Arabidopsis thaliana: one gene and its partners. The protein of the gene in region 1 interacts with the protein of each later gene in a pairwise test. Each region holds a gene or a part of one and is shown in the gene's direction. Other genes may lie near its edges.

Evidence for each region. The genes of interacting proteins can lie anywhere in the genome.
Region 2: the proteins of AT3G21690 (region 1) and AT1G68220 interact in a protein complementation assay, tested with the Arabidopsis thaliana proteins (one large-scale study listed by BioGRID).
Region 3: the proteins of AT3G21690 (region 1) and EIR1 interact in a protein complementation assay, tested with the Arabidopsis thaliana proteins (one large-scale study listed by BioGRID).

The regions. Positions count from the first base shown.
Region 1 is NC_003074.8:7,636,779-7,642,922, forward strand, and holds AT3G21690 (MATE efflux family protein), read left to right. Parts: upstream 1-1,805; 5' UTR 1,806-1,971; coding exon 1,972-2,292; intron 2,293-2,416; coding exon 2,417-3,048; intron 3,049-4,015; coding exon 4,016-4,072; intron 4,073-4,294; coding exon 4,295-4,533; intron 4,534-4,627; coding exon 4,628-4,746; intron 4,747-4,839; coding exon 4,840-4,926; intron 4,927-5,017; coding exon 5,018-5,083; 3' UTR 5,084-5,611; downstream 5,612-6,144.
Region 2 is NC_003070.9:25,568,344-25,572,277, forward strand, and holds AT1G68220 (aerobic coproporphyrinogen-III oxidase (DUF1218)), read left to right. Parts: upstream 1-1,748; 5' UTR 1,749-1,978; coding exon 1,979-2,071; intron 2,072-2,152; coding exon 2,153-2,361; intron 2,362-2,915; coding exon 2,916-3,219; 3' UTR 3,220-3,390; downstream 3,391-3,934. Other genes in the region: APRR6 (pseudo-response regulator 6), read left to right, coding at 1-959; AT1G68230 (Reticulon family protein), read left to right, coding at 3,842-3,932.
Region 3 is NC_003076.8:23,098,605-23,105,772, forward strand, and holds EIR1 (Auxin efflux carrier family protein), read left to right. Parts: upstream 1-1,911; 5' UTR 1,912-2,160; coding exon 2,161-2,430; exon of another isoform or gene 2,431-2,581; intron 2,582-2,678; coding exon 2,679-2,981; intron 2,982-3,361; coding exon 3,362-3,806; intron 3,807-4,203; coding exon 4,204-4,473; intron 4,474-4,771; coding exon 4,772-5,039; intron 5,040-5,126; coding exon 5,127-5,212; intron 5,213-5,287; coding exon 5,288-5,445; intron 5,446-5,568; coding exon 5,569-5,645; intron 5,646-5,785; coding exon 5,786-5,852; 3' UTR 5,853-6,624; downstream 6,625-7,168. Other genes in the region: AT5G57080 (uncharacterized protein), read left to right, coding at 355-480, 702-764. UniProt on the Arabidopsis thaliana protein: Acts as a component of the auxin efflux carrier. Seems to be involved in the root-specific auxin transport, and mediates the root gravitropism. Its particular localization suggests a role in the translocation of auxin towards the elongation zone.

The DNA.
Region 1 (6,144 bases):
TGAGTTTTTCTCTCCTGACTGAATGGCTTTTTAAACTTTATAAACTCGTTCTAATTTGTCTTTTCCGTTTAAGGCTTTTTCGTACGTTTTGCAAATAGCTAAACTTTTGAAAGGAAAAAGTAACCTCGCGTTTTTCTCATTTATATTGCACAGAATATAGATACAAGTTGCAGCTATTACTGATAAAACGTAGCTACTTTTTTGGTTGGGTTTATTTGAGCCAAATAACTTCATTAAAAGCTGTAGTACCAAGTTTGGGTCTATCATTTACACTGCTATTGTCTTTGCTATATGACTCGAATCTGATACATTCGATTTCTAAAGATTATATCTAATTTTTAAGCGAATTAAACTTTTGCAAGCTTGGTTTTGATCTCTACTATTCTATTGACTAGAGAAGATGTCATAGTTGGGTGTAGAATAAGGTATTGAACTGACTTGCTTTTATTGATTCATTAACTATGGTATTTATACACAATGATCTCTATCAAGAGATAAACATAAATCCCTAAAATATAGGTTAGAAACTCTATCATCAAAGATATTGTACTAATCCTAATCGGATTACACATATCTCCAATAGAGTTGATATCTATTAACGGCAAAAGGAGCTAAGCTGCCATGATGACCCATGAAGTATATGCCTGCATGCTAATACGCAGAAAAACATTGAATGTGAAAGTGGCAATTATTCGAACACTCAAATTTTTTTATCTTCCTAAAATCGTGCTCGTGAAGATTTTTCAAAACAACCGATATAACCATTGGTGTTTAGTTGTTTACCTTTCTTTTTATTGCATACGATAGCCCATTCTTAGGAATTAAACCATGGGGGCAACTGGCAAGCATTTATAATCATTGATGTTACTTTAATTTTCATTTAATATGAATATTAAACGTAGTAGCTATATCATTGGGTTGGAATTAATGACTGAGAAAGAATGAATGAAAGAGAGAAACGTGTACTCGCAGTAGACCATATAACCATTGGTGAACAATTTTATTTGGAATCGTATCCATAAATATCATTTTTATACTAGTACGCTTGCTTTTACGACTACTATACCTTGTGTGGGCGGACCAACAATTTAAGAAGGGGGTGTGGGTGTAACTGGCCCGGTAAACCATAATTTTGTTTTGGCCATGTACAAAATGAGTTTTTGGCATACGGTGTTTTGTTGTATTTGAAGATCCCACTCAATATCATTTTTTTTTCCCCAATTTGATTAATCATTTGCTTTCTTGAAAGATTATTTTCCTTATAAGGATAAGAATAAACAGTTTCCTTTTTCATGGAACAAATTTTTCATGTTTCAAAGATATTTTCATTTTGTCTGAAGTATCAAAACAGTTTTACATTATTATTTGTCTTTTTCTGTTCAAAAAATTTAAGCAAATTAGTATATAATAAATAAACAGATTTGTGTATAGTATTGAAACCTATATCCATGAGCAAATGTGTGGTATATAAATTAGATAACAATTCTTTTTTGACATCATATAAATTAAATAACATTGAATTTGAAATTAATCACATTTTTAAAATGTGATTGTACGTTATTTATTCTTTAAAATTATGAATACTAATTAACCAATATATGTCATCGAAATAACTCAAAATATTGTAAAGAAAACTATTTGCATTTTACATATAGATATCTTGTAAAGTTAATTACGATATCCATAGAAATGTTATACAATCTTTGACTAAAAACGAAAGAAAGAATTCTAATAATTAATAACCTTTGGTGTTTTTAATGAGAGACGTGGACTCTCTCGGTAGAAATAATACAATGATTAACATACAAATTTGTAACTATCATTAGCCGTCACTCGCCACCCTCGATAGGACCTATATACACTTATACACAACACTAGCCACACACATCCTCAAGCGATAACACCACAAACAAAACAACAAACCAAAAAAAAAAAAAAGAGAGAGAGAGAGAGCAAATCTCCATCATCATCATGGACTCGTCTCCAAACGACGGCGTACACCAACCGCTTCTCCATCCTCAACCATCTCCATCTCCGCCGGAGTCAACCAACGGCGAGCTAGAAACTGTCCTCTCCGACGTAGAAACTCCTCTGTTTCTCCGCCTACGTAAAGCCACCATAATCGAATCAAAGCTTCTCTTTAACCTCGCTGCACCAGCCGTCATCGTCTACATGATTAACTACCTCATGTCCATGTCTACTCAAATCTTCTCCGGCCATCTCGGTAACCTCGAACTCGCCGCCGCTTCTCTTGGTAACACCGGTATTCAAGTCTTCGCTTACGGTCTCATGGTAACAACCAAAAACTCCTCTTCTTGTATATATTTTTTGTATGAATGTTACGTTTTATATCATTTTCGTCTATATGCTATGTTTTTTTTCACATCTTTAAAATTCGAGTTTTTTTCGATGATAGCTAGGCATGGGGAGTGCAGTGGAGACGTTATGTGGTCAAGCGTACGGTGGTAGAAAATACGAGATGCTTGGAGTTTATCTCCAAAGATCAACCGTATTACTAACACTCACCGGCCTCCTCCTTACTTTAATCTACGTTTTCTCCGAACCAATCCTTCTCTTCCTCGGTGAATCTCCCGCAATCGCTTCGGCCGCATCGCTCTTCGTCTACGGTCTTATCCCTCAAATCTTTGCCTACGCAGCGAACTTTCCAATACAAAAATTTCTCCAATCACAAAGCATAGTAGCTCCAAGTGCTTATATCTCAACGGCTACGCTCTTTGTTCACCTTCTTTTAAGTTGGCTCGCGGTTTACAAGCTTGGTATGGGACTTCTTGGTGCGTCGCTTGTGCTTAGCTTGTCGTGGTGGATTATAGTCGTGGCTCAGTTTGTTTATATTGTGACGAGTGAGAGGTGTCGTGAGACGTGGAGAGGTTTTAGTGTTCAAGCTTTCTCGGGTTTGTGGAGTTTCTTTAAACTCTCCGCCGCTTCTGCCGTGATGCTTTGCCTTGAGACTTGGTATTTTCAGATTCTCGTTCTTCTTGCCGGACTTCTCGAGAATCCTGAACTTGCTCTTGATTCACTCTCTATTTGGTAAGTCCTATTTTTAGTCAAACTCAATTTAATTATTTCCTTTAAAATTTATTTTTACTAGTTAATTTCGTTTACTAAATTAATTTCACCTATTGACCATAAAAAATAATAATTTAAGTTTATCTATTCTAGTGTTTTTGCCTCTTTGGTTTCCATTTTACCTATTCTAGTCTAATTTGTCTTCCACATGATATTTTATTTATGTTTTATCATAGGTAGTAGTTATTGGTTTCTACAAGAAAACACTTTTTTATATATCCTGAAACTCCACGTGAATATGTATGATTATAGACTTTTCCATGAATTTTTCTAGTAATGATTCGACAAAACTTTTAGTATTATTATTATTCGATATGAAAAGCATAGAACAAAACTTTTTGTAGGGAGTACAAAGCAAAGTTTGGTTGTAGATACTAGATATGAAAGTTAAGTTAATGGCGAACAAATTTGACACTTCTTCCGCTACAGACAATCTATGGTCACATCACATTTCTTCTTTTCAGTCTTCTCGTTTTGGTTTTCTTTGGAATTTGTTTTTGTCTTCTTCTTAAGCAGTAGAATTTAACTTTAACAATTTCTGTATGACCATATGAAACTATCTCATATGGAATCGAATAAAACATTATTTCTTCGTCCAATCTGCATCTACTTCTTTATTTTGTCGAAGATATTATACAATATTCTTCTAGTACTAATTAGTTTAAGATTTATCTGAGTCGTAAGTACTAGATTTTTTAGGTTTTCCAAAAGTTCTCTTTCCTCTGTTACCAAACAGAAGCAGCCACCAAATTTAGGTAGTTGCCCCAAATCAGTATGGAATTCCCATCTTTATAATATGATATCTTTGATTTTCATGTCAAGTCAAAAGTTACAATTTTAAAATGTTGTAAAAACATTACAAGCAACAATGGTTTCATACTAGCTTTTGATAGTGTACGATATTAAATTATTTGTTTTTGTGTTACAGCATGACGATTTCAGGGTGGGTGTTCATGATATCTGTTGGATTCAATGCAGCGATAAGGTCTGTTTTGTCCCAACTCACCACTTGCATGATCGTTTTCACTAAATTTAAATCATATAAAATAGAAAACGTCTCTATCCAATTTACCTACCCCCATAAAAATATGTGGATTCTTACATTTTACACACTTAAATAATGCTAAATCATACTGAACCATAAGCTCTTTTTCTCCTATTAAATCTGATGAAGTGTGACAAAAATTGTGTTATGATGTTGATACAGTGTAAGAGTGAGCAATGAACTTGGAGCTGGGAACCCTAAATCAGCAGCTTTTTCTGTGATCATCGTTAACATTTATTCGTTAATCACTTGTGTGATCCTAGCCATTGTTATTTTAGCGTGCCGCGATGTTTTAAGCTATGCTTTCACTGAGGGTAAAGAAGTCTCGGACGCTGTTTCTGATCTCTGTCCGCTTCTTGCCGTAACACTTGTCCTTAACGGAATCCAACCTGTCCTCTCTGGTAAACCCTTCTGATCGATACACCGCAATTTCGCAAACCGAATAAGCGAAGATTTTTTTTTTTTTTTTGAACAATTGGGAAAATTTTATTATAGGTGTGGCGGTTGGATGCGGTTGGCAAACGTTTGTGGCGAAGGTTAACGTTGGATGTTACTACATTATTGGAATTCCTCTTGGGGCTCTCTTTGGGTTTTACTTTAACTTCGGTGCCAAGGCAAGATAGTTTTCTTAACTTTCATTTTAATTAGTTACCATTATTCTTGTATTGAATATTAGAATAACAAATTTAAGGCTAATGATGCTATAGGGTATATGGACGGGGATGATCGGTGGTACGGTTATACAAACGTTTATTTTGGCGTGGGTCACGTTTAGAACAGATTGGACAAAAGAAGTAAGTTTGCTAAACTTTAAGCTGCCCTGTAGGCGCTAAGTGTTTACGTAAATATTTTCATTGATTTGATAGTTATTTTAATTTGTTTCAGGTGGAAGAAGCTTCCAAAAGGTTGGACAAATGGAGCAACAAGAAACAAGAAGTTGTTCCTGAATGATGCAGGTTGATGAAAGTTTGGTATCCAAGGAACCGATTAGATTCATCGGTAAACCGATGCAAATGCTCAAAGTAACATGTGAGCTGGTAAAAAAGGATATGGATCAACCTTTTAAACTTCTACAACTCAATTTTAAGTTTTTTGTGTTCTTGTTTAAAATGTTAGAGGTAGGTTATGTATTTTTGTATGCCAAGATTATAATAGTTACTGCGTTATTTTTTATTGATTTATATATATATGCATGTCTTTGATTGGATAGATCTTAGTTATTTTTGTTACTGAGTTTTTCTTTAGTTTAATGATATTTTGTTAGACTGGAATGCAATTAAAGTTTCTCTCTTTCAGTATGATGCATTTTTGTTGTTGTTGAGAATGTGAAGGAAAATAAGAACTGGACTTCCAACAAAATGGGCAGGGTGATCTATGGGCCTAATATATGGGCCTAAGTAAACTGAAATTACTATACATAAAACAAAGTTTTCACATCATAAAATCAGTCCAGCTCATTTGCGTTGAGGACTTGAGGCACAGAGAAAATTTGGAGTTTTTTTTTGTCAAAGGAGAAATTTTGGAGTTGATGATTCGATATCTGACATAGTTATAAATGTGTATTATCTTGCTCTAACTTTGCTTTAGTTAGTGGCAAAATTTTGATGTAAACAAAAGTAAAATAATCGCCTACTTAACGCATCTATGACATTTTAATATAAGCACTATTTTCATTCGTGTTTAATAAAAAATAACGAAAACGATTGTAAGAACTTCTAAATATTCTTATAAACTACTAGACGAGATGTTATATTTGTTCCATAAAGTTAGAGAAAGGAGCGATTAAATTTCCGTTACACTTGATGTAAACACGTTTTTTCGAATAAATTTTACATTTTATTCAAAAAAAAGAAAAAAAAAAAAGTAAAGAAGAAAAATTCTTGATACTTTTTCTTTTCATTATTCTCATTATAAACCATACAACGAAAAAGGATATAAATAGTAAATACTTGGCCAAGCCAATAATGGCCGTCACGTTGTATCTGTGCCATTTTCTGTCTACACATTTAAGT
Region 2 (3,934 bases), on another chromosome or scaffold:
CATCTCAGATGGAATCCGAAAGGATTTCTATTCCGCAGTATGATCCTAATCAATGTCACCCACATAGATCCATCCTTGAAACTGATGTAAACCAAATAGATTTAGATTTTACTTCTATACTAGATTCTTTCGATCCTCTAGTAGATGAGTGCCTTATGAAGGAAAACAATAGATTTCTTCCAAACCCTACCATGAACCTTTTGGATACCGATATAGACAAGATGGATTGGGTTTCATTTATAGAAAACCTTAGTCACCATGATATCAATATGAACCATATGGATTGGGATCCTTCAACAGCAAATTACGTTCTTCCTGAAACCAACATGAACATAAATTTTCCTGAAAAACATACAAACGAGATAGGTTGGGTTTCTTCACAAGTAGGTTATGTTCCTTTTGAAAATATGATTCCCTCTGAAGTAGATATAAACCATATGGGCATGGGTTATTCTGGAGGAAGTATTCCCCCTCAAGAAGAAACTAATACAAATAATGTGGGCTTTGTTTCTTGTGAAATACATAGTGAAATCCCTCCCAAAACTAATATGGCCATTCTAGAAACCAATTATTCAAATCCGTTAGATTGGGTTTTCCCTGAAGATATAACTTCACTCGAAACCAATACCATCCAAAAGAGTTTGGTTTCTTGTGAAACAAGTTACGATGCTTTGGATAATATGGTTCCTTTGGAAACCAATATGGAAGAGATGAACGATGCTCTTTACGATATTTCGATTGAAGATCTGATTTCTTTTGACATTGATGCCAATGAGAAGGATATATTCTCTTGGTTAGAAGACAATGGTTTTTCTGAGGAAAATAATATGATGGAGTCATGCGAATATCATAATATAGAATCTGTGAATCAAAGTGATGATATGAAGATAGACGATAACTTTGATGATTATCGTGAATGCATGGATTGGATTAACGAAGAGATGAATAAAGATGTATGAATAATGGTGAAAAAGGAGAACAACAAGATTAAAAGTAGTTTATAAATTTAATATGTTTTTGTATAATGCATATTCATATCATAAATATAGATGTATGTTAATCATAAACAATATGTATGAGATTCTAAAAGTTTTTCAGGTTCTTAATCGTACCATAAGTTTTCTTTTTTTGTTAATTTGTTTCTCAGTCTTTAATTAAAATGTAGTCAAACACTTTTAATTTGACCAAAGTTAGTATTTCTATTAAAATCAGTTCTAATAAAACTTATGACCAAGTAGTAGATGCTCTAGTATTGATCCTAAATCTAATTTTTTATTTTTTTTAAATAATAGTTTACTACTTTACTTCCAAAATTATAGTCAATTGTCATTATAACTATTATCATTGAAATATATTTTTGTCAACAAATATTATTTACTATAGATAACCACGAACAAGGCATCATATCTGTCAAAGAAGCATTGGCATGACTTCATGTGCTCTCTAAAATTAAAAGATATGTTTTGTCTCAATTGACATCATATTATTTTTTGTTACGTCGTAGTAATTTAATGACAAATTACTGAGTCTTTGATTTTTAGCAAGGTCGTCTTCCAACTATGTTTCTAAATCTAATCATGATTTCGGGGTTTGAAGGCAAAGGATGGAGCGTGCAAAGTCGATTTCTTGTTGTTCTGATGCTTGAGCTGGTGGTTGTGCTACCACTTAAAGCTACAATATGTATAAATATACCCATTTAATTACTTACTCTTAATCAAATATCTCTCAAAATTTCTCCACTAAACATTTGTAAACCACATCCAAAAAATAAAAAAAGAGTAACCAGATATAATGATTAGATGGAGACACTTTGACAATTAAGTCATAAATATTAGTGTTCAAAATTCTAAAAAAAGAGAAAAAGAGAAAACAAATATCAGTGTTATAAGGACACTTTAACGTTTCTTCACTTGCCCAAAGCTCTCTGAAGATAAAAGACAAAAGAGTAAAGAGAGAAAGAAGCACGAAAACCAAATCAATGGCGGTTTCAGTTTCAATCCTCACCGTCGTCACTGCTCTTCACCTCCTTGCTTTCGTCTTCGCCTTCGGTGCCGAGCGTCGCCGTAGCACCGTACCCAATTTATCTCTCTCTTACTAAAATTTGTCATTTTTCCGATTTGTGTTGTGAATTCGTGTTTTCTTGTTTATTCAGGCTGTGCCGGTTCCGGATCAGTACGATGAGAAGACTATTTGTAAGTACGGAACTGAGGCGTCGACAGTGTACGGTATGTCGGCGTTTGGGTTGCTTCTTGTTAGCCAAGCGGTGGTTAACGGTGTTACTAAGTGTCTCTGTTTTGGAAAGGGTCTTGTTACTGGTACTTCTTACACTGTCTGGGCTATTGTCTTCTTCGTTGTTTCTTGGTAAAGTTTATTCCTTTACTCTCTAATTGAATCTTTTGTACATCAAGATTTGAAATTGAGTTGATTTAAGTGGTATTTGGTAACCAAAATTTGAAATTTCTGATTAGGGGCTTTTAAGTTAGATTTGGAATGAACTAATTTGTGATTTGATTGTGTATATTTATGGGTTTTAACTTTGAAGTGAAAAGGAAAGTTTTTTCCAACTCTTTTCAGTATTGTGAACATGAAAAGTAAACACTTTTAGATTAGTGGGTATTGAAATTTGGTTATGTGATTTATGATTAATAAGTCACTTTGTTGCAAACTTGACTTCTTATTTACGTCCTTAACTCTTACTTGTGAGTTGTGGATGTCTCTATCTAAAGACAATGATAGTGGTAGGCTTCGTCATGGTCACAATTGAATATTCTATATGTTTGGTTTTACAGTTTGTTATCTTACCAAACTATGTGGATTCTATAAGAAAAGAAACGACCTTACAAGAATAAGAACTAGTTAGTTCATCTCTATGTTTGAGTACGTTTGTCTTAGTCATTGGTTTTGTGTATCTTTAGGGTAAGCTTTTTAGGAGCTGAGGCGTGCTTGTTGGGTGGATCAGCGAGGAACGCGTACCACACTAAAAGTGAAGGCATTTACAAAGGGAAAGAGCTTTCGTGTGCCGTCTTACCCGTTGGAGTCTTTGCTGCTGGAGCTGCTTTCACTCTCATGTCTTTGATTGCAACCATTCTTTACTACTTGGCTCATTCTAAGGCTGATACTGGCGGATGGGAGAAGCATCAGAACGATGGCATTAACATTGGTATGACCACTCCTTCAGATGCTCCAAAGCAACAAAACACCGAGTTTAACAAGGTCTAAACCAGTTTCTGTTTGGTCTTATGTTGGCTATGCTTTTAAAAACAGGGTAAAACTATAAAAAAAATAGTTGTTTGTTAATTGTCAATATAAACTTGTGTCGTCAGATATAATGTTGGCTTATGTATGTCTATGAGAAATTTGGTTTGGCTCAGTCATCATCTTAGCTTCCCACTTGACCTCATCTAGATTGTTATCATCTGCTAAAAGTTTAGACATGAAAACAATATGGGCACATAATGGACTGGGCCTACGAAGAGGCCCAATGATTGCATTCCTAACATATCTAGCCTCAACTTGGAATATACTTGCATGGGAAAGGGTTTAGCTATGATCAAAATGTTGATAACTTTTTGGAATACATTTTTGATCATTAACTCAAGTTAAGAAAGATTCTCTACAAGATATAAAACTAATTTATTCATGTAGCAATAAAATGATGAGTTTTTGCAATATGCTAAAGCCATACCTTTCCTGTTTTTTCTCAAATCGCTTTCTTCTTTATGAATCCAAGAACAAAACCGTTCTTATCCTAAAAGTTCGGAACTATATAATAAACCATGAATCTTAGACCTTAGCTCACAAAAAAGGCCACAGTTGTTTCAAAACCTGAAACCAAAACAAAATGGCGGTTTTTGGATATGAAATGGATGAACATAGAGCTTCTTCATCGAGACGACGAAGATCTTTGTACCACAATCTAGGAGGAGGACGATGT
Region 3 (7,168 bases), on another chromosome or scaffold:
GATATCATTACCAGTACCGAATGATGTGACATATCTGATGAGGTTTGAGGTATTGAACTCTCATGATTGTCAAGTGATGGTCTTGAAGCTTATAAACGATCCTCAAAAAAGTGTTTTGATATTTCCATAATTCTTTAGAGTAGCTTGACCTTATTATATAATTCAAAACTTTGGCCTTAGATAATGAGATTCAGGCAGGGAGGTGACGTGTTACTCACGCGCGAGAGCTGCGCGTTCAAATCATAAAAAGCCGACTTGCTATAAAAGCAAACTTGTTGATGATGGTTCAAAATTTCGAAAAGCTTTTCAAATTTCTCTTCATATCGCGCGCTCAGTCAAAAAGCAGAGCCAAAGATGAAGAAACCGTATAAAGGAAAGTTGCCGACGGGAACTCCGTCTCTGGCAATGTCAACACTCGTCGTCGTTGCTTCCCTTCTCGCCGGAGCCTCCGTTGTCCACAACATCTACAAACCAGATCTCGTAAGCTTCACCTTCTCTTTCTGTACATATGTTAGGGTTCTCAAATGTATTAGGTTTGCTCACTTTCTTCGTTCTTGATAATGCCCATAAGCGTGATCGGTTTAAAACCATTCATTTCGTTCTCTGGCTCTGTGATCTCTCTTTTATTGTAATGCACATAAGGTGTTCGATGAATTGCCCATGAGAGATTTGTAATCTGATTGCTTTTTACTTTTGTGCAGAGTTTACCACCGTTGGAAAGTAGTGAAGTGGCCAAGAAGGATGATTCTGTAAACAAAGTTTGAATCTTTCAATAGTTTCATCCTGTTTTATCAGGCTACATTCACTTTGGTTGTTCTCTTTCAATTCATGAGTTAACAAAAAAACATGGATAAAGTTTAAAACTGAGATCACTTATTAAAGGCTTTTATTCTTCTTCCTCTTGTGAAGATGTAAAGAAGAACAAACTCTTTTTAGGTTTCTTGTTGGTCAATTCACCGTTTTTTTTAAAGAGATATAAGAAATCGCGATGATCGTGTAGATGACATAGAGACCAACGAATTGATGGAGTCTTTGCTACGGATTGTGGAAAACCATGTCTTCGATACATATTGGAACTTCAAAAGAGATTTTAGTGATAATCTAGTTAGTATCTCCATCGTTAGATCCATAGGTCCATTAGGCCCAAACGCCCAATCACGTGGCGTGATAAATACGTTAACAATTGCAATATGAAGAAAACACGACAATTAAATATGGAAGAGAGGCTAATTATTCATCGGTCCAATTGCCAATGTCTTTGACTGTAGTTAATAATAAATCATTAAGAGATTTTCGTTTAAAAACAAAAATACACCGTTTCAAGATTAAAAGATAAGTTAATTACAATTGTATTTTTCCTGATTAAAAATCAGATGTTTACAGGGAACCGCAGATCGCTCAGAAAGTGTAGTAAGATGCTCGCAAAAACCATGTGCATGTCCATCAACCTTCGCCGTCTCAATAGCTTACACAAAAATCGTTTTTGTTTTCTTATTAATATAAAACCTAATCTAAATTTACAAATTTGTTTTCTTATTAATATAAAATCTAATCTAAATTTACAAATTTGTATTACACGTACAAGTGGATCCAAGTATCTGACTCTACAGATATTTTGAATCTAACATTTGTGTAATTATAATTTATAATCTCTGAAGCATTTAATTTTACTTACAAATAATGTTAGACCACGAGACAGAAGGTAAACCAATCTTCCTTATCCCAAGATAAGATTCTTCAAATTAAATATAACGGCTTTTTGCAGAAGTAATAAAGATAGAAGGAATATCTAGTATCAACGGAAAAAAAGAAAAAATCTAGAGCACTTCGAAAAATTATGGACCAAAGAAGATTCAGACTGAAATTATTACTGTATTAGTATTTGTCCATTCACAAAATGCCGAGGAAGAAAAAAGGCATTTTGGTTTATATTTTGTTTATTTGATATTCAAATGTCCAACGATCCTCTCTAGCTAAGCTTAGCTATAATTCAATGTTTGAACACGAATCCCATTATTTTAACACAAACAACATTAATTAAATATCGTCTCAAGGAACTTCACTTCCTTGTCCATAAATACGTTATTTCACACCACATATACTCATCTATATCTCTATTTTTCTTCTTCTTCTCTCTCTCGCCGGAAAAAGTAAATCAAAATGATCACCGGCAAAGACATGTACGATGTTTTAGCGGCTATGGTGCCGCTATACGTTGCTATGATATTAGCCTATGGTTCGGTACGGTGGTGGGGGATATTCACACCGGACCAATGTTCCGGTATAAACCGGTTCGTTGCGGTTTTCGCGGTTCCTCTTCTCTCTTTCCATTTCATCTCCTCCAATGATCCTTATGCAATGAATTACCACTTCCTCGCTGCTGATTCTCTTCAGAAAGTCGTTATCCTCGCCGCACTCTTTCTTTGGCAGGCCCGTCTCTTTCAATAATCTCTCTATGCACATAATCTATCTTCATTAAGTGATGGTAGTCTACTAGTAATTGCTATGATGGTCAATTTTTACTCGAAAACATATTGGTTATCGAAAGCTTATAGTATAGTAACTATGTCATTTAACACGGGTAAATATTTTAGTTAACATTTTAGCTCTTTTGTAATATGTGTCTCTAAACACACACATTCTCATGTTTGTGTATATATTGTGATATTATTTTTTAGGCGTTTAGCCGCAGAGGAAGCCTAGAATGGATGATAACGCTCTTTTCACTATCAACACTGCCTAACACGTTGGTAATGGGAATCCCATTGCTTAGGGCGATGTACGGAGACTTCTCCGGTAACCTAATGGTGCAGATCGTGGTGCTTCAGAGCATCATATGGTATACATTAATGCTCTTCTTGTTTGAGTTCCGTGGGGCTAAGCTTCTCATCTCCGAGCAGTTCCCGGAGACGGCTGGTTCAATTACTTCCTTCAGAGTTGACTCTGATGTTATCTCTCTTAATGGCCGTGAACCCCTCCAGGTATGAATTTTTCACTGATGACCTTTTTCATATGTTTGTTCAAATTAACGGACCGGTTAACTCAAGTAAACTAGAAAATGGGTAGTTACTAGTTACGACATGACTACATGTCATTTTGGGATTCCTTTTTGCCTATGTAAATCTATAACAAATTTTGAGTTTTGTCTGAGTTCCTTTTTCAGAAGTCAAAAATAATCTTCAAAGTGACGTGTTACATTATTCACGCAGAATTTAATAATTAGTACAATATAAGAAATATCAAGTTATTAACTATAGTCTAGTTGAATTTTCATTCTTTTTGTACCGATTCGGTTATATCCGGTTTAAATCACATCGACTCGAAATTCATCACCTAAAAATATGGATTTATCTTTCATTAGACCGATGCGGAGATAGGAGACGACGGAAAGCTACACGTGGTGGTTCGAAGATCAAGTGCCGCCTCATCAATGATCTCTTCATTCAACAAATCTCACGGCGGAGGACTTAACTCCTCCATGATAACGCCGCGAGCTTCAAATCTCACCGGCGTAGAGATTTACTCCGTTCAATCGTCACGAGAGCCGACGCCGAGAGCTTCTAGCTTTAATCAGACAGATTTCTACGCAATGTTTAACGCAAGCAAAGCTCCAAGCCCTCGTCACGGTTACACTAATAGCTACGGCGGCGCTGGAGCTGGTCCAGGTGGAGATGTTTACTCACTTCAGTCTTCTAAAGGCGTGACGCCGAGAACGTCAAATTTTGATGAGGAAGTTATGAAGACGGCGAAGAAAGCAGGAAGAGGAGGCAGAAGTATGAGTGGGGAATTATACAACAATAATAGTGGTATGAATTTTTTAATATATATATATATATATATTTATTTTTTATTTATTTTTTTAAAAAAATATATTTTGCTTCTTTATAAATTTAAATAGATATAAGAATCGATTCAGATATTATTATTATTTTCCATCAGTCACCGGTGATTATAAGTGGGATATTATTAGGTTTAAAAAGGTTTAAAAGTTAAGTAAAGAGTTCATCAAATAATTTTGCGTAATTATTTTTTTCTTTTAACAAAATAATAATAATTTAGTATATCACTTCCAAAACTCTTAGGTTTTTAAACTGATTATAGTTTTGGAAAACAAAATATTAATTTTGTATTTTGAAATTTAAATGTGATTTTTTCATTATAATGTAATGTTTTAAAATAAAATTTTCTATAATTTATGGTCAGTTCCGTCGTACCCACCGCCGAACCCAATGTTCACGGGGTCAACGAGTGGAGCAAGTGGAGTCAAGAAAAAGGAAAGTGGTGGCGGAGGAAGCGGTGGCGGAGTAGGAGTAGGAGGACAAAACAAGGAGATGAACATGTTCGTGTGGAGTTCGAGTGCTTCTCCGGTGTCGGAAGCCAACGCGAAGAATGCTATGACCAGAGGTTCTTCCACCGATGTATCCACCGACCCTAAAGTTTCTATTCCTCCTCACGACAACCTCGCTACTAAAGGTTTATTAATCTCCAACTTATTTCATATTTTTTTTTATCATTACTTGCCACGCTTCTATTTTTTTTTTAACTTTTAGGAAAAATGTATAAAGCTCAATATCGGTTCTAAGTTTTTTTTATAGTTTTTTCAAAGTTTCAAAACTTATGAAAACTTTTAAACTAATTAAAGTAGATTTTTATTTGGTTCCGTACGGCTTTCTATAAGTTAGTTTTTTGGTCGAAGAAAGGTCATAATAAATTTAGTTTAGTATTTTCTGTGATATTTAATTATAATTATATTCATACTTGGTGATGACAGCGATGCAGAATCTGATAGAGAACATGTCACCGGGAAGAAAAGGGCATGTGGAAATGGACCAAGACGGTAATAACGGGGGAAAGTCACCTTACATGGGCAAAAAAGGTAGCGACGTGGAAGACGGCGGTCCCGGTCCTAGGAAACAGCAGATGCCGCCGGCGAGTGTGATGACGAGACTAATTCTGATAATGGTTTGGAGAAAACTCATTCGAAACCCTAACACTTACTCTAGTCTCTTTGGCCTTGCTTGGTCCCTTGTCTCTTTCAAGTAAGTACTAATAATAATGTCACAATCATATAACATAACAATATATTTGGGCAATTGCTTGATGTTGTTGATCATTTTATGGGACAGGTGGAATATAAAGATGCCAACGATAATGAGTGGATCGATTTCGATATTATCTGATGCTGGTCTTGGAATGGCTATGTTTAGTCTTGGTATAGTTCCCTTCATATATATATTTAGTTATAGTCTTTGGTGCTTTTTTTTTTGCTAATTATTGATACATATAGGTCTATTTATGGCATTGCAACCAAAGATTATTGCGTGCGGAAAATCAGTAGCAGGGTTTGCGATGGCCGTAAGGTTCTTGACTGGACCAGCCGTGATCGCAGCCACCTCAATAGCAATTGGTATTCGAGGTGATCTCCTCCATATCGCCATCGTTCAGGTGATTACTCTTTAGTCTTATATATATTTCAATCTAACTTACAGTTTGATGTTTTAGCTAGTGATGTTGGGTTTCTTTGAAAAATATAATTGATAAGAATATATATAATTGTATGTTTTGAAGGCTGCTCTTCCTCAAGGAATCGTTCCTTTTGTTTTCGCCAAAGAATATAACGTCCATCCTGATATTCTCAGCACTGCGTAAGTTATTTAAGTTATAAAATATTTAATTTTCATTCTTAAACTTCATTTTAATACTATATATAAGATATTAATTTGGTATTCAAACTATACAAAGTTACAGAGATCTCCTAAGCTAAAAACTTGATATTATTTTTCAGGGTTATATTCGGAATGCTGGTTGCTTTGCCTGTAACAGTACTCTACTACGTTCTTTTGGGGCTTTAAGTTATTATCAAAACGTATTTGCAAATAAAAGGCGATACGACCCAAAGGTGATTTTTTTTCAAACGAAAAAGAATAATTACAAGAACGAAAAAAGACTAATTCCAGGTCAGGCTTAGGTGTATGGGACCATGCAATGTCGCATTAATTAAATTATAGCATATGATAGTCGAAAATTTAGATAACTTTGTATAATTAATTATATGCACATGCATGTACGTGACTTTGTAGTTTTTGTTACATTTATTAAATTTTTGGGATGTGCAAGTACAATTATTTACTATTGATTAGTTTTTTCTATTTATCGATGGTCGTGAAGCATGTTATTAAATTACACTAATATTTCATCATATACTAGTCAAGTATTACTAGATCGCGCAGTCTGTTTAGATTAGATCTTGTGCTTTTCTAAATCTCCATACAATTCTTTATTTTGTTTTGGATCAAATGCACTAATACTTCCACATATAACCTTTTTATTTCATTTCTTTTGTCTTATATATTTATGTTTTTGTTTGTATGTAAAGTTAATTATGAACGTTATTTTTTTTGTTAAAAAATTATGAACGTAATATTCGGTTGAAGCTTGAAGGTAGTCGCATTTTAATTCGATGAGTAAAGAACAATCAAACTTATAATAGAATTTAATTTTCCTTTATTTTAGTATATACTTATCTGTCACCAATAAGATATCACTCGGACTATTTTTGGAGTGATACAAAGAATTTGCGTGGAGAAAGAAACATTTCAAATGAAAGCACTAGTCTAGACAATTGATTGTGTAGTAAGATAGTTGCTGATGATAAGTTTTGCGTTATAGACAAATTGTGCATATCTAACATGTGTGAATATCTTAACGAGTGATCAAACTTTTCAACCAAACTGTCCAAAGTTTTTATGAAATAGAAATTATTTTTCTTCTTTTTCCTTGCGTTTGATTAATTATGAGCTCCTCAAAACGTATCGGTGATCGGCGCTTGAATTTAAGTATGTAAATGTAATGTACTAGAAAAGATGGCTTGGCTCTGGAGGCGTTGACTGTGTAACGTGAAAACGATCACGTGGGGTATCAAAACGATGAGATATACGTTGGAACTCGCTCTTTGGTCGGAACGTAATTGAACGAACAACAACACATGAGAAATTCAATAACAATTCTTCTCTATATAGTTGTCCTGACCTCTGACTTATCTGACAATAGATCTTTTAATAGTTTACACGTAAAAATATTTATTATTCAATGAAGTGCGTAAGAGAAATAGCATATGTATACTAAGGGTAAAAGTATTTATACGTTTTGATGTTTTCAGAAGGTTTTG